Linked DNA regions of Arabidopsis thaliana. The protein of the gene in region 4 interacts with the protein of the main gene of each other region in a pairwise test. Each region holds a gene or a part of one and is shown on either strand. Other genes may lie near its edges. The genes, in order: CHX6A, AT5G13400, PTR1 and SPIK.

What was found.
Region 1: the proteins of SPIK (region 4) and CHX6A interact in a protein complementation assay, tested with the Arabidopsis thaliana proteins (one large-scale study listed by BioGRID).
Region 2: the proteins of SPIK (region 4) and AT5G13400 interact in a protein complementation assay, tested with the Arabidopsis thaliana proteins (one large-scale study listed by BioGRID).
Region 3: the proteins of SPIK (region 4) and PTR1 interact in a protein complementation assay, tested with the Arabidopsis thaliana proteins (one large-scale study listed by BioGRID).

The regions. Positions count from the first base shown.
Region 1 is NC_003070.9:2,551,427-2,557,262, reverse strand, and holds CHX6A (cation/H+ exchanger 6A), read left to right. Parts: upstream 1-2,033; 5' UTR 2,034-2,188; coding exon 2,189-2,467; intron 2,468-2,562; coding exon 2,563-3,582; intron 3,583-3,676; coding exon 3,677-4,339; intron 4,340-4,562; coding exon 4,563-5,057; 3' UTR 5,058-5,328; downstream 5,329-5,836. Other genes in the region: ATCHX5 (Cation/hydrogen exchanger family protein), read left to right, coding at 1-356, 456-920; CHX6B (cation/H+ exchanger 6B), read left to right, coding at 5,790-5,836. UniProt on the Arabidopsis thaliana protein: May operate as a cation/H(+) antiporter.
Region 2 is NC_003076.8:4,296,167-4,300,931, forward strand, and holds AT5G13400 (Major facilitator superfamily protein), read right to left. Parts: upstream 3,099-4,765; 5' UTR 2,914-3,098; coding exon 2,688-2,913; intron 2,601-2,687; coding exon 2,383-2,600; intron 2,206-2,382; coding exon 1,625-2,205; intron 1,538-1,624; coding exon 688-1,537; 3' UTR 522-687; downstream 1-521. Other genes in the region: NEF1 (no exine formation 1), read left to right, coding at 1-406; AT5G13410 (FKBP-like peptidyl-prolyl cis-trans isomerase family protein), read right to left, coding at 3,664-3,759, 3,839-3,914, 4,041-4,096, 4,217-4,261, 4,352-4,432, 4,609-4,659, 4,746-4,765.
Region 3 is NC_003074.8:20,045,084-20,050,738, reverse strand, and holds PTR1 (peptide transporter 1), read left to right. Parts: upstream 1-1,993; 5' UTR 1,994-2,291; intron 2,292-2,548; exon of another isoform or gene 2,549-2,580; 5' UTR 2,581-2,584; coding exon 2,585-2,690; intron 2,691-3,083; coding exon 3,084-3,301; intron 3,302-3,385; coding exon 3,386-3,939; intron 3,940-4,019; coding exon 4,020-4,854; 3' UTR 4,855-5,136; downstream 5,137-5,655. UniProt on the Arabidopsis thaliana protein: Peptide transporter. Mediates the transport of di- and tripeptides. High affinity transporter with low selectivity. No transport of amino acids.
Region 4 is NC_003071.7:10,892,461-10,899,181, forward strand, and holds SPIK (Shaker pollen inward K+ channel), read left to right. Parts: upstream 1-1,792; 5' UTR 1,793-2,142; coding exon 2,143-2,384; intron 2,385-2,464; coding exon 2,465-2,830; intron 2,831-2,910; coding exon 2,911-2,968; intron 2,969-3,065; coding exon 3,066-3,383; intron 3,384-3,480; coding exon 3,481-3,726; intron 3,727-3,811; coding exon 3,812-3,910; intron 3,911-3,987; coding exon 3,988-4,020; intron 4,021-4,142; coding exon 4,143-4,328; intron 4,329-4,416; coding exon 4,417-4,611; intron 4,612-4,706; coding exon 4,707-4,782; intron 4,783-4,878; coding exon 4,879-5,451; intron 5,452-5,634; coding exon 5,635-5,909; 3' UTR 5,910-6,212; downstream 6,213-6,721. Other genes in the region: AT2G25590 (Plant Tudor-like protein), read left to right, coding at 705-756, 841-982, 1,099-1,312. UniProt on the Arabidopsis thaliana protein: Highly selective inward-rectifying potassium channel that could mediate potassium uptake in the pollen membrane. Plays an important role in pollen tube development.

The DNA.
Region 1 (5,836 bases), on a different chromosome or scaffold from region 4:
CCCACCAAATGCAAAAAGCCGAACCTGGAAACCGGTCTTATTCAAACAACGTCCTAATCGCTTTTGATAACTTCAAACATTACTGGAAATCGATATCGCTGGAATTGTTCACATGCATCTCAAACCCTAGGTACATGCATCAAGAGATTTACTCGCTCGCTCTCGACAAACAAGCTTCTTTTCTCATGCTCCCTTTCCACATTATATGGTCCCTTGACCAGACAACGGTGGTCTCAGACGATGTCATGCGTAGGAACGCTAACTTAAATGTCTTGAGACAAGCACCTTGCTCCGTGGGGATCTTTGTCCATCGTCAAAAGCTTTTATCTGCGCAAAAGAGCAGTCCGTCTTTTGAGGTAACACATATTTGAAGGTTTGATTGTTCCATACGCTAATCATTAGTTTCCGTGCTTGAATTTGTGTTTACGTGTGAAACTTGATTTGTCTAAAACCAGGTCTGCGCAATTTTCGTGGGCGGGAAAGACGACAGAGAAGCCTTGGCATTGGGAAGGCAAATGATGAGGAATCCGAATGTGAACCTGACAGTGTTGAAGCTAATCCCAGCGAAAATGGATGGGATGACTACAGGGTGGGATCAGATGCTGGACTCGGCAGAGGTTAAGGAGGTTCTGAGGAACAATAACAATACTGTTGGACAACATAGTTTTGTGGAATACGTAGAGGAGACAGTTAACGACGGTTCCGACACATCAACACTCCTTCTCTCGATTGCTAATTCTTTTGATTTATTCGTGGTGGGGAGGAGCGCCGGAGTAGGGACCGACGTGGTGAGTGCATTGAGTGAGTGGACGGAGTTTGATGAGTTAGGTGTGATTGGAGATCTGTTGGTGTCTCAAGATTTTCCCCGTAGAGGGTCGGTGTTGGTGGTGCAACAACAACAGAATGTAGCTTGTAGATGATATTACATTGGCAACTACTCTTTATTCATTTATAAGATACAAAAAATAGAAATACACTTCTCACACGAGACACATTTGTAGCCCCAAATTTTTAAGTGACAGTTCGTCTCCGTGGCCTTGTGATGATAACATTTGCAAATATGACTTTAAATTTAATTGATTCCACATAATTTTTTAAAAACAATGAAATCAGAAAAAAATAGTACATGTTTTATAATTAAATTAACATTCAATGTGAGAGTTACATCTATTTACATGTTTTACAAGTTTTAATCTCCTTTTCGCTATACAATAAAGAAAAACGGCAAAAATAAGCAAACTAGACAAATAAATTACATAGCAAATTAGTATATAGTCTTAAAAGACCTACTTGCCACCAATTTGATCATTAAAAATGATGAGAATTTCACGCACGTAGTATACATTCAATGAAATTACCCAATTAAAACCTTTAGAGGAATCTATTACCAACCAATAGGAATTGAGTTCAAAATGGTTTGTAGGTGATTTACACTTGTTCTCATTTCTTTATAGTCTTAAGACCACAAATACGACTAGCCAATGAATATTTAATGCCTAACTACTTGGAAGAATCTTAATCCTGTGATTATGCTTTACGTATACGTAGGGTTCAAGCATTAATTAGTAATTTTGAATTTGGAGAAATTTTATAAGAGAGTAATTTGGTATCCTGACCTAGGTACAATATTCTTTAGTTTATATTGTTATTTATCTTACCCTGCCTTGATTAGTAAGACTCTTTTAGTATCCATTTTCCTTTGCTATATTATTTGGTTTAATTTGCATGCTTAGCTGTTTGAATGACTTAATTTGTATGGTGATTTTAAAGTATAAGTTCCTATTTCACCAAACATAGAAAAAATTGTCAAAACAAAAATATATATATCCCTGAGAAAGTGTGCAAGTGGATGCAAAATTCCCTAAATATATATCGTTATATGTATAGCTTTGGCGTTGTTGATTGGTGAAATAGACGATGTACAATCATACGTGTGCTAATGTTGACAAGGAACAAGAGATGGAGAAGAATGAAGCTATAAAAAGAAAACAAAATGGGTAAATATTAACTGTACCTGAGATGCGTATCTGTTGTTTGCTGGTTATTCGACCTTAATTAGTCAACGTTTATAACAAAACCATCCCTAGTCTTCTTCTTTCCCAATCGAATTACAAACCCTAAATCATTCCATTAGATCTTCTTGATCCCTAAGCAAGTCTCTTCGTTAACTTTTGTCTTTCTCCTTAAAATGGCTACAGAGGAGATAGACATGAGTTATTGGGACGTGTCATGGGGAGAATTCAATGAAGACAAGAACTCGTCTATCTTCTGCGAGTCACACCCTCACATAGTAAATTCGCACGGGATATGGGAGGTTATGACTTTCAAGAGAGGGATGAACTTCTGGGAATATCCGCTCCCGAATCTCGAGATCTTAATCTTTTCTACTTTTTTTATATGGCGGCTTCTCGACATCTCATTCAACAAAATTGGTCTTCGAGTACCTAGATTCACATATATGATGATCGTGAGTTTTCTTAATCTCCCTCTTCCCTCCACGTTTTAAATTTTAAAATCAGTACGGTGCATATTCCTAAACGTTGTAATGCCTTGTTGTTGAAGGCAGGGATAATTTTAGGTCAAACTTGCCATTTCAGCAACAAGTCTTGGATCCATGACATTTTTTTCCCTGATGATAACCGACCAAAGGTGGCCGAGACCCTAGGGGCTTTCGGCTTCGTTTTATATTGGTTCCTCAAAGGTGTGACCATGGATGCCGAATTGCCATTTAGGACGGAGAAAAGGTCTAGTGTGATCGGATTCATTACAGTAATTATACCCTTGATTTGTGGCAGCCTCACTTTTAGATATAGAGAACGAAGAGGGGACTCAAGCATATTAAGGATGGAATACAGGTTGATCATATTCTTGCAAAGCATATCCGCGTTCACGAGCATCGACACACTCCTAAAAGACCTCCAGATCAAACACTCAGAGTTTGGGAGGATAGCCCTCTCTGGGGCTATGGTGACTGACATGTTGGCTTTTGGTGTAACATTTTTTAATGCAATCTACTACGAAAAATTGTACGGCTTCATGCAAACCGTAGGTTTCTGCCTCTTTGTCGTCGTTATGATATGCGTTGTGCGGCCGGCTATGTATTGGGTGATCAAGCAGACTCCAGAAGGGAGGCCGGTCAAGGATTTCTACCTCTACTCGATTTTTGGGATTGCTTTCGCCTGCTTCACTTTTTTTAACAAGGTTATTCATCTTTTTGGACCCGCGGGATCATTTGTTTTCGGCTTGACGGTTCCAAATGGATATCCTTTAGGTACTACTTTGATTCAAAAGTTTGAGAGCTTTAATCTTGGCTCTATTTTGCCACTCTTTGGATCATTAACCATGATGCAAGTAGATCTCTTACGGTTGTTCAAAGAGAGTGGAGATTTAATACGGATGGAGGGTCAAATCTATGAGGTCATTTCCTTTATTCTTTTGGTGAATACCACAAAATTCGTTGTTACCACCATAACCGCGTATGCTTTTAAAATGCCCTTGAGAGACTCTTTTGCTTTAGCCCTTGTGCTTAGTAATAAGGGGATCTTCGAGCTCGCCTACTACACGTACGCGGTTGAATTAAAGGTGCGTACAATTAAACTCTTCTATATATATTTAAAGTCAGAAGAATTAGTTTATTTTCATAAAAATTAATCAAATCTTTGGACATGTTTCACAGCTAATAAGGCCAGAGGTTTTCACAATCCTAGCTGCCTACACCCTCTTGAACTCTATCTTTATACCAATGCTCTTGGAGCTCGTGCATGACCCAACCAAAAGATTCAGATGCTACCGAAAAAGGAATTTGGGCATCTTGAAAGACGGTGCGGCTCTCCAATGTCTTATGTGCGTCTACAGACCTGATCACATAACTTCCATGACCGACCTCTTGGAAACTTTTAGCCCATCACAAGATTCCCCAATGGCGTGTAACATACTTCACCTCGTCGAGCTTGTGGGTCAAGCCAATCCTATGTTCATTTCCCACCAGTTGCAAAAACCAGAGCCCGGAAGTACTTCTCTGTCTGACAATGTCATAATCTCCTTCCGTGGCTTCCAAAGACAATTCTTTGAATACACATCGTTGGATATTTTCACTTCCGTCTCCGTGTCCCAACACATGCATGAGGACATTTGTTGGCTAGCCCTATCCAGAAGCCTATCTTTGATTGTGCTTCCTTTCCACCGAACCTGGTCCGTTGATCGATCCACGGTTATCTCCAACGATGATAATCTGAGAATGCTCAACGTTAACGTCCTGAGACGAGCCCCATGCTCTGTTGGAATCTTCGTCTATCGCAAGCCCATCGTTGAATCTCATATGGCTAAGTCCCACAGCAAGGTGCTTTTCATTTTATTTTGAAAACTAATTAATTATCCGTTTGGGTACGTGAAAATACAAATTTCAGAATTTTATAAAATCTAAAAGAATATTTTTGCAACGTCTAAATGAAATTAAATGCTGAAAGAAAATCTTTTCATTTTCCTTTACCATTTATGATGAACAAAAGAAATGGTACTAATATATTAGCATTTTTAACCTGATAAAACTCTCATCTTTGCAGATATGTTTGATTTTTAACGGTGGAAAAGACGATAGAGAAGCTTTGGCGATAACAAATCGAATGAGACTGACAGAAAAACGAACAAGGCTAACGATCATAAGATTCATTCCAAAATCTTCTGAAATGGATAACGATGAGTGGGAGCAACAGCAATCGATTAACCTAAAGGAGTCCGTGACTAGCATCGTTGGGTCCAACATCAAAGAAAATGATGCCAAGGTGACATATATCGATAAGGCGGTTTCTGATGGATCTGAGACCTCAAGAATCTTACGAGCAATGGCAAATGATTATGACTTGTTTATCGTTGGAAGCGGCAGCGGAATAGGAACTGAGGCTACTAGCGGAATTAGTGAATGGACAGAGTTCAATGAATTGGGACCTATTGGAGATTTATTAGCATCACATGAATATCCTTCAAGTGCATCAGTGTTGGTTGTTCAAAAACAAGTGTACATTCATCATACAAAAAGCCAAAGGAGAAAATCTTTCTAAGAAATAATGCGAGATATGTTCAATGCTCAGCTTTTCAATGTTGTATTTCTCTACATCAATAAACATTAGTTTTAGGCTGCTTGAAGTTATGGAGTAATTGATTCGAGTTTCTTCTGGATATGATGATATAAACTTCACGATTTTTTTAATCAAATTTTGAGTTAACAAGATTAGAGTAATTTCTTGTGGCAGTGCCTGCTCTATGATAACGCCTTCCAACTATAGCTGCCTTTGTTATCACAATTCAAAAATATATATTCTCTTGTAGTAACAGGGTCTGTTTAACATACACACTTTGTCACGTTATAATTAAGTTTAGTATGTGTTAGAGATATCAGAGGGAACAGAGCAAAATACTCTGTTTTTCTCAACAAAAAGAGATTTTGGTACCTAACAGAGTACTCTGCTCTGTTCCCTTTGATAAAAGATTGAATTTGAGGTCTTAATTAATGGATCATCTTATTAAAAATGGGTAAAGCGTTTATTTAGACTGCCTAAAGAGGTCATTTTATTTTAAAGTAATACAACTTACAAGCGCCAAAAACAAAGACAACACCTGGACGAGACAATCCCTATATTTATACCCTTATCCTAATTTTAGAGATCCTTTGGGATCTGTGTGAAACCATCAGACCGGTTTTAATTTTAGTTCTTTTTTTGACTGCAAAATCTTTTCATTGTCAATTTTTTTTTTTGTTCTTTTTGGTTTTACGTAGACAAGATTTGTCCCAAATGGATGCAGAAAATGCGACTTGGCGCAAAGAGTTCATGTGGAACAA
Region 2 (4,765 bases), on a different chromosome or scaffold from region 4:
CTTATCCGGGTTTGGTGATAAACAGAGATACTTCCCGGTTACAGTAGCCATATCAACATATTTGGCATTATCCTCGCTCTACACTGTATGGGAAGAAGTTTGGTTTGGTGGAAACACAGGTTGGGGAGTCGAAATTGGAGGCCGTGAATGGTTTTTTGCGGTGAAGAACCTGGCTCTCCTAATACTCACAGCACCAGGTCACATCATATTCAACAGGTACGTTTGGAGTTACACCACCAAACACACAGACGCGTCGCCGATGCTGACCGTGCCACTTAGCTTTGCAGCCGTAATAATAACAGACGTGTTTCAAGTTAGGGTTCTGGGAGTTTTAGGCATTGTTTACTCTGCGGCTCAGTATGTGATATCTAGGCAACAATATATGAAAGGGCTGAGGTATATTTAGACAGTCGTAGGATTGATTAGTAATGTTTTCGACCCTTTTTGTAACAGAATTTGTGAAACAGTGTTTTCATTTCCCAGCTTTGTTTCTCAGTGGATGCATTGGAAATTGCCAATATACGACGTTTGAACAACTTAATTTTATTGGTCTTCTTACAAACGAACAATCACGTTTAGCGGATTTTCCACCCTTAAACATTAGCTATAGGAAAGCAAAGTAGGATGATACAATTACTGCTGTTTTATCAAAAAGAATAACGAGAAGAGAACACAGAAGTGGTGTCTTTAAAGAACAGCACTACTCTTGTCTTCCTCAGACTCGATAGCTCGGTACTTGTACCTATGCGCTGACCAAAGGAACACACAGAAATTCAAAAAGCTCAGAAGTGTGAGCAACCAGTACAAGCAGTCGAATCTCCCCGTGTTTATGTTCTGCGATAACCACGATTTCCCATCTGAGTCCCGAGTCGCAGCCTTGACAATATTGTTCAAAATGGTGGCAGCAAAACACCCTAACCCGCCGGCTAGAGCAGCGTAAGCCGAACCAATACTCTTCATAGCATCCGGAGCTTCCTCGTAAAGGAACTCCAATAGCCCTACTATGCAGAAAACCTCTGCGATTCCGATGAGACAGTACTGGATTAACAACCAGTACGCGGTTAGATCAGGCATTTGGGTCAAGAAGTTGAACTCAAAACCATTTTGTATCGCGTAATGTCTCCTGTAGTTCTCGAATAGCCCAGCCCAAGCTACTGATATGATTGAAACTGCTAGCCCTATGCCCACTCTTTGAAGCTGGGAAGCACCATGAGGATTGCCAGTGATTCTTCTGGTGATAGGGACGAAGACAGAGTAATAAAGGGAGAGAATGAGGAAAATGCTTAGGCCTGGGAAAACTGGCATGCAGGTCACTGGAAGCTTGAGGTGTTGAATGTGTGTGTTGAGTGTGTAAGCTTGTTGCACTGAGAGTGTAAGATACTCAGTCAAGACCAGACTCAGCATTATAGTGCATGTTGGGATTGGAATCAATCTGATCAGAATCTTCACTTCCTCTACTTGTGTTACTGTGCATAGCTTCCATGGAGATGGTTCCAATCCATCTTCTTTCAACTCAAGTGCCGCCTTGTCTAGCCATCTGCATATGAATTCATTCGACTGATAAATACTAGTATTAAGTTTTATTTTCCTTATAGGAAGATGTACACAAAAGAAGAAGCCTTACATGAAATCATTGGAATGAGGGATTTTACGACTGCCATTAATAGCAGATTTCAAGCCAGGAACTTCGTAAAGACCGATGAACTCACTGCTTGTGAAAGCTGCATTTCGTTTGCGGAAAGCGGCAACTAAGACCTGAGCTACCCTAGTCAAGGGACTACCACCAGGCAACCTATGCCGATAAAGCGGTGTACCAGCAAAGAACAAAGCATTAGAAATCCCCATGGCTACGGCCAATGTGCCAAAAGCCATACCCCAACCAAGTTCCATTTGAACATATACCACCAAAGTGAAGGCAATGATTGCGCCTAAAGTGACCGATAGATAGAAGAAGTTGAAGAAACGGTCTAAATGTGTCTTGTAGTCTTTGCTCTTCTCATCAAACTGGTCAGCACCAAATGAGGAAACACATGGCCTTATACCAGCAGCTCCGAATCCGGTTATGTAGAGAACCGTGTAGAGATAAAGCATTTGCCAAGATTTGGCTTCTTCACAATTTCCTAAGAGCAATGATAACTGGCCACAGTTGCTCTGGTCTGGTACGAACATCTTCAAACTTGCCCCCAATGTTATTCCTATCAAACCCTTTTCACATGCAAAACAAAAGAAAAGAAAAGATTTCAAAGTATCCATCACATAACATATGTTCGGTCTTGCGTATTAGACGATGTTCTTCAAATTGCACCATTTGCACAAGACCTTAACCATAAGTCATAAATAAATAAATAAACAAAATACAGAGAACAAAACAGTACTACTTACGACAAGATACATGGTAGTGAAGATGGCAATAGTCCAGTATCGACCCAAGTAAGCGTCGGCTAAGAAGCCTCCAAGAACAGAGGAGGCTTGAGAGATGCCAAGGAAGTTGTTGACTGCGTTTGATGAACTTTCAAAAGGCCTATGCATTACGTAGAACATGAACGCCACCATGTTCACCGAGAGTCCGAAATACGCCATTCTCTCTGCCATTTCATTTCCTAAAACATTGCAACCATTCCACCAAAACTAAGCTGCACTGCACGTAGAACTACTGATAATCTAGATGTAAGTGAAAAGAAAGTTACCAAAAATGAAGAAAGCTGCGATCCAACCACCGGTTTTGGAAAGATTGGCGATGGGTTTGCCATGGATGTTAACGGGAGTGGTTCCTCCGGTATAGCCACGGCCAAGAGCAAGACGTCTGTTATCTGATTCTATGAAGAACACACTCAACTGCTTCCTATGATGCACAGAGGAGCTTCCCGGAGTCTCGGGGACACTCACCGGGGATTTAATCTCAGAAGCAACCATAATCAATGATATTTTCTCATAAAACCATGGAAACTGAAAGCATCAGAGTGACCAAAAACAGCAAGAGAGCTTAAGTTAATAAATGAAATAATTAATCCAGCCAAACAAAATCTGTAAGCAGAAAAGGATGTATGAGGATTGGTTAGAGAAATGTATAAATGCAGTAGCTTAAAATGGGAAGATGGAATTAAATAGACGGAGCTTAGCTGGTAAGTGGTAGATATAGGACTGGCATTTATTGCACGTGGACTCCCATGATGTCCACAGTTTCAACGTTCAAGAAAGGACTTATTTAGAGAAATGTGGATTCATTTGATATGTTTTGTCCTTGAAAGACATAAACTCATTGAAGGACTTCTACAATGCGTCACTGCAACTTGTTCTTTTATTTTTGCAGTCTCCATTAATGATGACTCTGACATTGAACCAACATTGGCTACTCAATAAAGTCAAAACAACAGAAGCTGCTTACACTGGTTTTTGTGTTCACATTTCATTTTATTCTAAACTTTCTATGAAATGTTATAATAACTTACCTCACTATAAGGGATAATATAACTAAAAAGAGGAAGCAGAATTAACATGATGAACAGTTAGTTGGTGATGCATGGCTATTTTTTTTTTTAACACTCCTAAAAAGAGCTAACATTATATGATATAAACTGAGCTCAATTTACACAAATGTGCCAATGTAGTATACACATCATAAATAAATATATATGTACGTGAGTTAAGACTGTCGATGTTACATCAATTGGGTACAATTTTGAGGAGTTCAACATCAAAGAGAAGTGTCTTGTCTATGAGCCCTTGGTTCCTCAGCACAAAATCTAATGCACGTTGTCCCTGCGCAAACATAAAGAGACAACATTTAAAACTTATGTCTTTCTTATACATGTTTACATAAAACAAACATAAGGCTCACAGAGAAAGTCATCGGCCTCGGCCCACTCTTGTTGTAGTCATTATCCGGGTATCCTAGTTCTGGCGGTACAATTATCCTGCAATACCAAGCTAATTATTTACACTGATTCATTCTACCGTCTACCATTTGTGTGAAGAGTGAGTTCTATATGAAAAACATATGGAGGATGTGTAGAGTTAGAAATATTAGAAAGATGTTGAACCTTCTGATACCACCGAGAGCCATCCCAGAGACAGCCTCCTCAAAAGCAGGTATCACCTGGAACACCAAAATCATGCAGCATCCAGAAAGAAACAATTCATACAATCAGTAACAAAATCCATTCTTTAAACCGGTAAAACCCATATAGCAACTAGAAGGACTTGGAATTTCGCCCACCTCATTGGATCCTAAGGTAAATTTGAAAAATTCCTTATCATCGCCCTACAGATTCACAAAAAGAAAACAAAGATTAAGGACTGTATCATTGTAGCTAATGAAACAAAAAAAAAAAGAGCCAAAACGTGTTTATACCTCAAAAGAACCCCCTTTTGTTTTATTGCGAGCTTCAAATATGCGTCCATAGTACCCTATTGTGTAACCGTCCCAGTCAACCTAACATACCCAGCTTCAATTATTTATAACTACTAGCAAAACCTATGGTCTTTGAAACATTAATTTGCTAACATAGATACAAGCAAAGCAAACTCCAAACTCTCTAACCAGAGCAAACTTCTAGATAAACTTGAGACCAAGGATACAAAACCATAGATATGCAGAAATTTCCTTACCACAACTTTGTCTCCCTTTTTTGCTATAGGCCCAGTTCCTACTCGCAAATCCTGCAGCATCTCAAATCTTCAAGTTAATGATCACCGCATAGTCTAAACTATATTAGATATAAGATATGGGACTAATGAGGGGTGACCTTATACTGAAGACCAGACT
Region 3 (5,655 bases), on a different chromosome or scaffold from region 4:
TCCGTATTAAAGCCGTTGGTTTTTGTACAACTGAGTAATAAAGTTCATGTTGAGTATGTCAATTATTGGATTTGGGAGTTCCAAAGAAAATTTTGAAGACTTTATGTAAAATGGAAACATCTGGTGGCGAAAAGAAATGAAAATTGGAGTTTCCATTCACCATACACAAAACAAAAAAAAAAAAAAAAAAAAAAAAAGCCTAGATGTAACCTTTCTTTAGCGGTCATAATATAATGTTTTCGTGGATGTGAATTCTTGACGCCCAAAAATAAGGAATTTTTAATTCATTTATCTAACCTTTTGATAAAATAAAATAAAACTACACGCTTATTTCAGGTTTGATCTGTTGTGAGATTAGTTACAACTTTTTAAAAAGTTAATGGCAAACAAAGTTGTCGTCGATAGTGATGATACCTAGATTACCTTTTAGCTTTTCTTTCTAGAGAGTTATCTTCCCAAACAGCTCTCAAGTATACGTTTTAGCTAGCTTAGAGAATTGATCTTAATTTCAGAAAGAAAAAAAAAAAAGAATGCTTTGAATTGAAGCACAAATTGGTTTTTCTTAATTGGATTTGAAGAATCAATGGATTAGACTAGAATCAAAAGGTCAACTACTATGATTCCCGTGAAATAATAATCAAATATGAGTGATCCAAATTTCTATATAATTGCACATCATTGATTTGTGGATCTATCAAGTGTTATCTTTTACTTATATTTTCAGTTAGATCTGACAACAATTTTCGTACTTATTCTATTAAAGTTGGACCTCGCAACAACCTTTCATATCAACGTTGAAGTTTTATAGTTAATTATTAGTTCTTGATTTTAAAATGTGTCAAATGATATAATGATTAGTTCAAAGTTCAAACCACTGATCAAAGATTACTTACTCACGTTGCACAAAATCCACCTTGAAACATCATAGTCTCGATGTCACATCCCAACAACTAGTTAATGTTTTAACAAAAAAAACAAAAACTAGTTAGTGTACTTCAAAAGTATATATTGGTATAACTGATTAGACGAATATGTAAGAAAAGTTGACTACAAGAGTATGGAAGCCGTGGTAAGACTTCCAATGAAATAAAAGCAATCAAAGCACACTGTTTTTTACCTATTTTATTTATTTATTTATTTTGTTTGCAACTAAACGTCATCAATTTAAAAATTGTTAAATACATCAAATATGTTTTCTTTATAAATATCAAATTTGGTCAGATATATTTTCTTTTTCAAATTTAGCTTCATAAACATCAAATTTTACTTTTGGTTTTGTCTCTTTAGTTTGTTGGGCTTTTGGAGTAAAGAGTTCAAGTCCAACAACTAAGTCGATAAACAGCCAAATCCTCGTAGATAAACAGGATCCAGCTACATATGTCGATTCACATGCATCTTTTAATATTCGTCCTCGGTGAATCTTTAGATCAACGGTTACTTTATTACTAATTGTCATTAGCACCTCTTATTTTAGCATAACCAAATCAAACACCTTTAATTATCTTTCTAATATCACTACCCTAGTTTATATTTTAAGATCCACTGAGACCTTAAAGCTGAAACAATGTTTTTAATCGAGGGAGTGATTAGAGATTTAATCAAATGGATTTAGACTGAACCACCAAATTGAATATTGAATCTAGTGATGTTTTTGGCTTTATTTTCACATATCCAAAATCAAACATCAACCAAAACCAAATTTAATAAACCTAACTATTTTTTTTTTTCAAAATCGACAATCTGATATTTAGAGTATGAACACAAGTTTCAAATAAAAAAAGAAAGAGTATGAACTCAATTTTATAAGAAAACTCCAAATCATCTTATTGACCAAAGTGTTTGTATTCACACTTGTATCTTTCTTGTTTTGAGTAGGAGTTCTTTCTTGTTATCTTTCTGGTAATGTCAATTCCGTAATATCGGATAAAAAACAAAAAGAGTCCACTAAAGTTTTGGTGGATGATTAACACGTCCTTCGATATTGATCTATTTACACTTTGGAGTCAAAACAAGATAATATCAAAATCTGATAGCACAATAGGCCTTGCGGCTCTAACTGAAATATACAAAAACTCAAAGGGTTAAACTGCAAACATGAGAAGAAAAGTGAGCAACGCTCCTTTCTATTTCCTTGGATATAAAAGCTGTACGGGACCAGAGCTCTGCAAGTCTTTTTTATAAGCTCATGCTCATTATTACTCCGACAAGTGCCGTGTAATTCCTCGCCCTCGGCTACTCTTTTCTCTTCTTGCCTCTCGTCTCCGCCGCTGATTCAGCTGCCGCCGACAAAGGTTTCTCCCTTTTTTCTAAGTCTTTTATGAGTTTTCCTTTCGTTACAAGTTACAACCATAACCTCATCTGGTCACACATAAACTATAATTTCAGAGCATGAAAATTTCGTACTTGCTTGCTTCATCTGCATATTTCGATCTAAGCATCTACTAGTCAATTTCTTTCACGTATATTTTTAAGGGTTTTCTCATAACCTTATACCTGAAGTATGGATCTCTAAATTGGGGATCTTTAGGTATGTGTTTGGTACATCTTTCTTGAAAAAGCTAAACTATTTTTCTTTATTAGGAATATGGAAGAAAAAGATGTGTATACGCAAGATGGAACTGTTGATATTCACAAAAATCCTGCAAACAAGGAGAAAACCGGAAATTGGAAAGCTTGCCGCTTCATTCTCGGTAACGTTCTAATCGTTTCACCAATCTTTTTCTTCATTATTGCCGTATAGGACCTGGACCAGCTTAAGTAATGGCCTCTCGTGTCCCCTGTTTTTTAAGGTCCACTAAAAACATTTACATGTAAATAATAAATGTAATGATTAAAAAGAGATTATATACGATTAAAAGCAAATTGAATGATAGAGAACAAATAAAATTTAAAATATTATTGGAAATGTTTAGTTTTGTAGGGTGATCACTATGAAAAAAGAGTTATAAACCTAAAATCTGCTCTGTTTTCTTCAAAAAAATTGTCTAAATAAAGAAAGGGCCATTATATTTTTTTATTATATAGCTTGGGCCCTGATTGGATCTATCCATATAAGATTAACCAGTTTTATGTGTTTTGTGTAGGAAATGAGTGCTGTGAAAGATTGGCCTACTATGGCATGGGCACTAACCTTGTGAATTATCTTGAGAGCCGTCTGAATCAAGGCAATGCTACGGCTGCAAATAACGTCACGAATTGGTCTGGAACATGTTATATAACTCCTTTGATTGGAGCCTTTATAGCTGATGCTTACCTTGGACGATATTGGACTATTGCAACTTTTGTTTTCATCTATGTCTCCGTGAGTTTTACTTGTTTCTTATCTTTTGGTTAAAAATGTGAATCTTTTGGTTAAAACTAATTAAGTTTGTTTTTTCTCTTGAAGGGTATGACTCTTTTGACATTATCAGCTTCAGTTCCTGGACTTAAACCAGGTAACTGCAATGCTGATACTTGTCATCCAAATTCTAGTCAGACTGCTGTTTTCTTTGTCGCGCTTTATATGATTGCTCTTGGAACTGGCGGTATAAAGCCGTGTGTTTCGTCCTTTGGAGCTGATCAGTTTGATGAGAATGATGAGAATGAGAAGATCAAGAAAAGTTCTTTCTTCAACTGGTTTTACTTCTCCATTAATGTTGGAGCTCTCATTGCTGCAACTGTTCTCGTCTGGATACAAATGAATGTTGGTTGGGGATGGGGTTTCGGTGTTCCAACAGTCGCGATGGTTATCGCGGTTTGCTTTTTCTTCTTCGGAAGCCGTTTTTACAGACTTCAGAGACCTGGAGGGAGTCCACTTACTAGGATCTTTCAGGTTATAGTAGCGGCTTTTCGGAAGATAAGTGTTAAGGTTCCAGAGGACAAGTCTCTGCTCTTTGAAACTGCAGATGATGAGAGTAACATCAAAGGTAGCCGGAAACTTGTGCACACAGATAACTTAAAGTAAGAAACTAAAGTTTGAATCTTTATCCTAACTTCAAAAATACTCTGTTTTCAAATCTAAAGTTTTGAAAACATCTCAGGTTTTTTGACAAGGCAGCGGTTGAGAGTCAATCTGATAGCATCAAAGACGGGGAAGTCAATCCATGGAGACTATGTTCTGTTACTCAAGTTGAAGAACTTAAGTCAATAATCACACTTCTTCCAGTTTGGGCCACAGGAATAGTCTTCGCCACAGTGTACAGCCAAATGAGCACAATGTTTGTGTTACAAGGAAACACAATGGACCAACACATGGGAAAAAACTTTGAAATCCCATCAGCTTCACTCTCACTTTTCGACACTGTCAGTGTACTCTTCTGGACTCCTGTCTATGACCAGTTCATTATCCCGCTGGCAAGAAAGTTCACACGCAATGAACGAGGCTTCACTCAGCTTCAACGTATGGGTATAGGTCTTGTGGTCTCCATCTTTGCCATGATCACTGCAGGAGTCTTGGAGGTTGTCAGGCTTGATTATGTCAAAACTCACAATGCATATGACCAAAAACAGATCCATATGTCGATATTCTGGCAGATACCGCAGTATTTACTTATCGGTTGTGCAGAAGTTTTCACCTTTATAGGTCAGCTTGAGTTTTTCTATGATCAGGCTCCTGATGCCATGAGAAGTCTCTGCTCTGCTTTGTCGTTGACCACGGTTGCGTTGGGGAACTATTTGAGCACAGTTCTTGTGACGGTTGTGATGAAGATAACGAAGAAGAACGGTAAACCGGGTTGGATACCGGATAACTTGAACCGAGGCCATCTTGATTACTTTTTCTACTTGTTGGCAACTCTCAGTTTCCTCAACTTCTTAGTGTACCTCTGGATTTCAAAACGCTACAAATACAAGAAAGCTGTTGGTCGAGCACATTGATCAAGAAACTGGTGTGGAAGATATTTGGAGTTAACAGTATTTGTTTGAAAAGTGTTTTGCTTGTAAATGTTTTTTGTATGTGGTCTAGTTGTTGTTGGTGTGTTAGGTTTGTTTTGGTTTTGCTTATGTATTTCTGAATACTTCCAGTCTTCCACTTATATGTAAAAGGCTATTGGTAACTATTTTATGAGCTTTTTGCTTAAAGCTTTTTGACCGTCTGATAATATGTCCTCCTATATTTTGCCATTGCTCTTAAGAAACTTATTATATACATTGGAAGTTATAAGCAATAAGCTGGGAAATAAAATCAAAAACTAAACAACAGCATGGGAAATCTTAACAAAAAGCAAAGCACATAGGATCCTATTGTCAATACATATGTAAACTTACTACTAGACATTAAACAAAGAGATCAAGTATTTTCTTCTGTTTCTTTGAAGATGTCTTTACTTTTGACTATATATCTGAACTGTTTGGAAAATGCTCAAGATCAGGATGCATAAGGAAGCCCCCTTGGCTTCTTGGAGGTTGTCTAACAAGATTGAGACAAGCAAGCGTCAAAAACAGATTTTGATTCTGGGGTTTATTTGTTCAGTAAAACCCATGGTTTATATATATATAGTCAGAAACAAGCTTTTTATTGAGCTCAACTATATGCACATAGAAAAAGAGAAAGTTTTTTTGTCATTTTACGAATGTGGTGGTGCGATGAAGCCAGGTTTGGTCACTAAATGAGCGGAAGCGGAAATAGCCAGCAGGACTATCTGGAAATGAAACCAAACCTAATCATTTAACAAAGTA
Region 4 (6,721 bases):
TAACTGATCTCCGACTTTCTCTTAATATATCAAATGATGAACATTTGATGGAGCTAAGAAATCTCAAGTCTGCCGGTACCCACAGTTAATTTTGTTAGTATCTATTATATCTTTTTGATCCTTGACAGTCTTATCTTCAGGTGTTGGCCATACTTCCCTGCAATGTGGAATCAACTGTTGTATATTGTTCTGTTACCGGAGGATTGTTAAAATGATTGTATAGACAGCAGAAGGGAAATAACTCTGACTGAAAATTTCAAATCCTCATTGTGATGTTTTCTTCTTATAGTCTAATTTTCTTTGTTGTACTTTCCGGATGATTAAACTTAAACAAAAGTTACAGTATCTGTGTTCTAAGATGAGTCATGTCTTTTCTTCATATATATACTTTAGTTTATTGTGTTTAAGCTTCTGGATAAGTCGAGTCATTTGTCTTCTCCTCATCAGTGATGGATTATTGAACTTACCTTACATTTTTCAGGAAAACTGTAGCCATGTTGGGTGACTGCAGATCTTGCTTGCTTCTAGAGATCTTACTCTGATGCATGAGGTTAACTGAATGGTGCAAAACACAATGCCCCTTCTTCCTCAAAATTCATAATTTAAATTGTGCTGTGTTTTCTTTTTGGCTGTACATAACTGATCTGTTTCAGGTGTTCTTGGATATATATACCCTCTTTACACAGGCTGTGAACTGTTCCTAGCCGAAGGATAATCATTTACAGTCTGCAGGTTGGATAAGTTTGCCGACGATTGGTAAGTATTAGGTTGAAAGTTCTTTATGAACTGTGTCTATCTGAGACAGTATTGAGGTTGTGTGGAATACTTTTACTCTTTCAGCAAATGTGACCAGTAGATTGTGGAACTGTCCATGCTTGTTTGTTGGTGGTATATGTACAGTTGGCCTGGTCATCAAAATCTACAGAAAAGTACTCAATTTTTATGAAATCAAGGCTATGACATTTCAAGCTGAATTACCGAGGTGCGGGGATTCAAACGTTAGCATAAATATTATGATCGGTGTGTATAGACCTCTGCATAAATCAAACGTGTCTAGCTGCTCGCTTGTCAAATCCAACTTTTTCCCTATGTCTCAAGCTTAAAGAAATTGAAAAGACTCAGAGAGGAAGAAGAAGCCTTGCGAATTGCGATGTTCTTATGCCATCACTATCGGTTTTATATTCGCTTATACTCTACACTAAGAAAAATAATCGAATTGAATATTTCTGATTCTTTAGAACTCATGTTAATTCAAAATTTTATGGTTGTTACAAAACTTATGAACAACATTATGATCTGCATTAACTTATAATGTTTTCAATGTGTTCTATGTAAGATTGACATTATTTGGAACCACCTGTTTTACTTATATTATTTTATTCTTGACTTGAAGTTGATTTGTGGCTTCTACATGTCACTAGCTTGAGTTTCACCAGAACTTCATAAAATCAAATTCCTTTGCAACTTAAAAGCATCAGAGAAACCAAACAGAAAAGCAGTAGCAGAAAAAGTTACTTGGGTTGCGTTATTGATTTTATTCAAAGCCAACAGACGCAAACATGTAACTAACACAGTTACCAAAACTGTCACAATTAAGCTTTCCAAGTACCAGAGTAGATTGATTCCAGGAAATGATTATCTAAATACCAATTTGCGCATAAACCAACCTCCTCCTTCTTTCTCGATTTACCAAGCGTTTTTGGATTGTAGTCCTCCTATTTGAATTTTGCCAATTATTGAACAACAGAAACTTGTATGATGTTTTTAAGTATTGGTAATATTAGTATGTTTGGGGGACAAACAAAAGCCTAATTAACCAAAAAACTATAGTTAATATTCAGTTCCCAGAGCAAAACGGAAAAAAACATGCCAATTTGTTAATTTTGAAAGTTTCTATGAGCACTAAAAGACCAATGAACCGAAATATACTTGCTATTTTTGTGGCTACAAAAGCAGAAAAAGGAGGGAAAATAGTTACCTGTTGGGGCCCACAACAAAAAAGAAAGAAACAAACGTAACAGAAAAAAGGATATAAAAGGAAATTCGAAACCGGCGAATTCGGAGAAAAAAAAAAAAAAACCTTGCGTGTTTATCCGCAAGGGATTTTGATTTTGGAAAAAGAAAGAGAGAGGGATCTGAAGCATGGAGAAGAAGAAGGTATGGTTTTGGGGTGTGAAAGACGACGGCGAAGGAGGCGGAGGCAGAGGAGGAGGAAGAACCAAAGATGCGGAGGATGATGTTGCTGACCATTTATCTCGCGACGGGACGATGAGTCAGTATAGCCTTAGCAAAGGCCTTCTTCCTTCTCTTGGAGCCAACAATCGTTCCTCTCGTGACGTCATTCTCCCTCGCTTCATCGTCTCTCCTTTTGATCCTCGTTACAGGTCCGTTTTTTCAAATTTTGACTCTGTTTTAATCTAATCGCTAAATTAGGGTTTAGCTGAGGTAAAACATTATTTTTCAGAGCGTGGGAGACGTTTTTGGTGTTTTTGGTGCTCTACACAGCTTGGGCATCACCTTTTGAATTTGGGTTTCTGCAAAAGCCAAGACCACCTCTCAGTATTCTCGATAACATTGTCAACGGGTTTTTCGCTGTTGATATAGTCTTGACATTCTTTGTTGCCTTCTTGGACAAGGTAACTTATCTTCTTGTCGATGATCCAAAGAGAATAGCTTGGAGATATGCGTCGACTTGGCTGATTTTCGACGTGGTTTCCACATTTCCTTACGAAATTTTTGGGAGCTTGCTTCATGAGAGTATTCAGGGATATGGTATTTTCAGTATGCTACGTTTATGGCGTCTTCGTAGGGTCAGTAATTGTTTTGCCAGGTGAGTTCTTTGGCCGGTTTATCGTTCCAGCCAAAACGTTTAAATTCCAGCTGAGTATAATATTGATGTCTTCTTTTCAGGTTAGAGAAAGACAGGAAATACAGTTACTTTTGGGTTCGCTGCTCGAAGCTTCTCCTTGTAAGTAGCTATTGTCTACTTGTTTTTTACACTCTTTTTGGTTTCAAATGAACAGTTTTTTAGCTGTGAATTTACAGTATTTGATTTGGTAATGCAGGTTACTCTTTTTGTGATTCATTGTGGTGCTTGTTTCCTCTATTCCATTGCTGCACATTATCCAGATCCATCCAAGACGTTTATGGCATTAACCGATGAAAATTGGAAAGAGTCTCCTATTGCAGTGCGGTATAACACGGCAATGTATTGGTCCATAACTACTTTCTCCACAACTGGTTATGGTGATATACATGGTGTTAACTCAAGAGAGATGACTTTCATTCTTTTCTACATGGTTTTTAATCTTGGACTGTCAGCATATATAATTGGTAATATGACCAACTTGGTGGTTCATGTGACCGGCCGCACCAGAAAATTTGTAAGTTCTATGTACCGGTACTGTTAACTGCACTTCTCTGAAAATTAGTCTGGTCTCAGTGAAGTTTCATGAGTCTTAAGCATTTGCATTATTTTAGAGAGATACCATCCAAGCCGCATCAGGGTTTGGTCAGAGGAACAATCTGCCAGTGCGGTTACAAGATCAGATGGTTGCTCATTTGTGTTTGAGGTACAGAACTGATTCAGAAGGCTTACAGCAGCAAGAAATAATCGATTCTCTTCCCAAAGCTATTCGGTCCAGCATATCACATTATCTGTTCTATGAAGTTGTTGACAAAATTTACTTGTTCCATGGAATATCCAATGATCTTCTTTTCCAGTTGGTATGTTTCCCATAACGCAAGAAGTCCTGCATGCTAAAAGTGGTCACTTTATTCACATTAAGTCTTAACTTACGGTGTCCTGTAGGTCACGGAAATGAAAGCAGAGTATTTTCCTCCCAAAGAAGATGTGATTTTGCAAAATGAAGCCCCAACAGATTTCTACATATTGGTGACCGGAGCTGTTGTAAGTGTTTTTCGTACATTCCTGACACATTCCTTTATCATCATGTATTATTCCTGACACATTCCTATGTCATTCAGGACATAATTGCACGTGTAAATGGAGTGGAGCAGGCAAGTCTAGCTTTTATTATACCGTTTCTTTTTAAGATATGATTGTGTTCTTCTTTAACTTTGTTGCAATTGGAGAACCAAAACATATTTGATAATGTTTTTGTGTATGTGTTTCTTTACAGGTAGTTAGTGAAGCACAGAGAGGACATGTTTTTGGTGAAGTTGGGGTACTATGTTACAGACCGCAGCTGTTTACTGTTCGTACCAAGCGATTGAGTCAGTTGCTTCGTCTGAACCGTACAGTACTCTTAAATCTTGTTCAGGCAAATGTAGGAGATGGAGCAATAATCATGAATAATCTTCTTCAGGTTTGTAATAACTCTGAATAGTACAGTTTGTTTCAACCTGTTGACACACAGGACCAGTTCCATAACAGATATGTTGTGGTTCATGCAGCATTTAAAAGACTCAGAAGATCCAGTGATGAAAGGCGTTTTGGCTGATACAGAACACATGTTGGCTCAAGGGAAAATGGATTTACCTCTCAGCTTGTGCTTTGCTGCAGCCAGAGGAGATGATTTATTGCTGCATCAGTTACTAAGACGAGGCTCAAGCCCTAATGAAATGGATAAGGACGGGCGAACTGCGCTGGTAAGCCCGGATTTCCTTTGTATATACCATCATCCTCCTTTTAATGCCTAAACCAAATTTGCTCACTCTCTATGTTTCTTCTTTGAATATCTCAGCATATAGCAGCATCAAAGGGAAGCCATTATTGCGTCGTTTTACTTCTCGAACATGGAGCAGATCCTAACATTAGAGGTAAGTAGTAAAAAATAATGTTTCACTAGGTCAATTAGCTTAGGATGATAGGATCATGTAGTACTAAATTATCGGTGGCTCGTACATTGTTTACAGATTCCGAAGGCAATGTACCCTTGTGGGAAGCAATCATAGGAAGACATAGAGAAATTGCTAAACTCCTTGCAGAGAATGGAGCAAAGCTAAGCTTAGACTCAGTGAGCTATTTCTCTGGCTTAGCCGTGGAGAAAAACTGCTTAGACGCACTCAAAGACATCATCAAATATGGCGGCGACGTCACACTCCCTGATGGAAACGGAACCACAGCTTTACACAGAGCAGTGTCAGAAGGACACTTGGAGATTGTGAAGTTCTTACTAGACCAAGGTGCTGACTTGGACTGGCCGGATTCTTACGGATGGACTCCTCGTGGTCTTGCCGATCATCAAGGGAATGAAGAAATCAAAACCTTGTTTCATAATCACAGGCCTGTGGAGAAAAAACCGAAACCTATCCCTGGAATACCTCAGAGTCCTGTGACAGGGAAGCCATTAATGAAGTATAGCAGTGAGCCTACAATGCATTCAGGAGAACTCGTCTTAGACGGGGGTCAGGTTGTTGTTTCTCAGAAACGGAAACTCAATAACTTCAGAAACTCGCTCTTCGGAATCATTTCAGCTGCAAATAGCGGTAAAACCACCTCACCTCTCCATCTGCTCTCTAGATACTCGTTGCTTTCTTGTCACGTAACCATAATTTTCAGAACTTTTCACATCACAATAGTCATTCTTATATACAATTCACAACGTTCATTACATTGTTCTGTTCCTTACAAATTTACAAATTTGGTTTTCATTTCTGGTTTTTTTCCAGCTGATGATGGAGGAGAAGTTCCAAGAAGTCCAGCGGTTCCTGGAGGAGGAGGTAGTATGATTTATCCGGAGAGAGTGACGATAAGTTCGCCGGAAAACGGTGAAACTGGTGGAAAAGTTGTTTTGTTACCAAATTCTATGGAAGAGCTATTGAAAATTGGTGAAAATAAGATGGGATTCGTCCCAACTAAAGTACTTACGAGAGAAGGAGCTGAAATTGACGACATCACTCTTATCAGAGATGGCGATTTTCTCCTTCTATCAAGGGATCCTTGATTCACACGCAACTCTCTTTCGATTTTGAGTAATGAAAACTATTTGTCTTAACGCAAACTCGCAAACCACCACAGTCAAGCTTTATGGTGGTGATATGATGCTAATATTAGGGGAAACCGTAAGCCCCAATCAACTCCGGGATTGAAATATCTTTTAGGTTTTTTTTTTTTGCTTTTGTGTATATATTCACTGCTTACTATTTTTCACATGTATATATATATATATCCTGTTGACTATTTTCTGTTAAAAGAACTCTCTAACAACCTCATGATATTAACATCGAAATCTACAAGAAGTATGGAAACAATCTTGTTTTTTTCAGAAAGCATACAAGGATAAAGGTCCTTTCTTAAACGTCTAGACAATCTTCTTCTCTAAGTCTCTAAGAAGAAGCAAGTGTTAAAATTTATAACTTTTGTGCGAGGTCGAGATTTGAGAGTAACTCCTCACTCATCTTTTCCAATCAAGCTTAAATCCTCTCTAGGTGACTTATCCTATTTCTGAGATGAATTATCATCTCATCTTTCATTTTTGTTTAGATCCATGATGGTAAAGTGATATTGATGGGACTTGGGAGCCAAAGCATTACCGAAAATGAGCACAATGATTGAGATAGAGTTAGAGACAACACACACTATAATATTATTATTATTTCATGCTTCAAATGCAAGAAGGTAATATTTGAATCAGACTCTAGAGAGCTTAATCTGCTCCCATCTCTCTGACCAATACGAAACATCCGCAATCTGCTCAATCAACCTAAAGAGGTGAAGTTGTATTTTATGTCTAGTTGAATTAAAACCCTTGTCAAA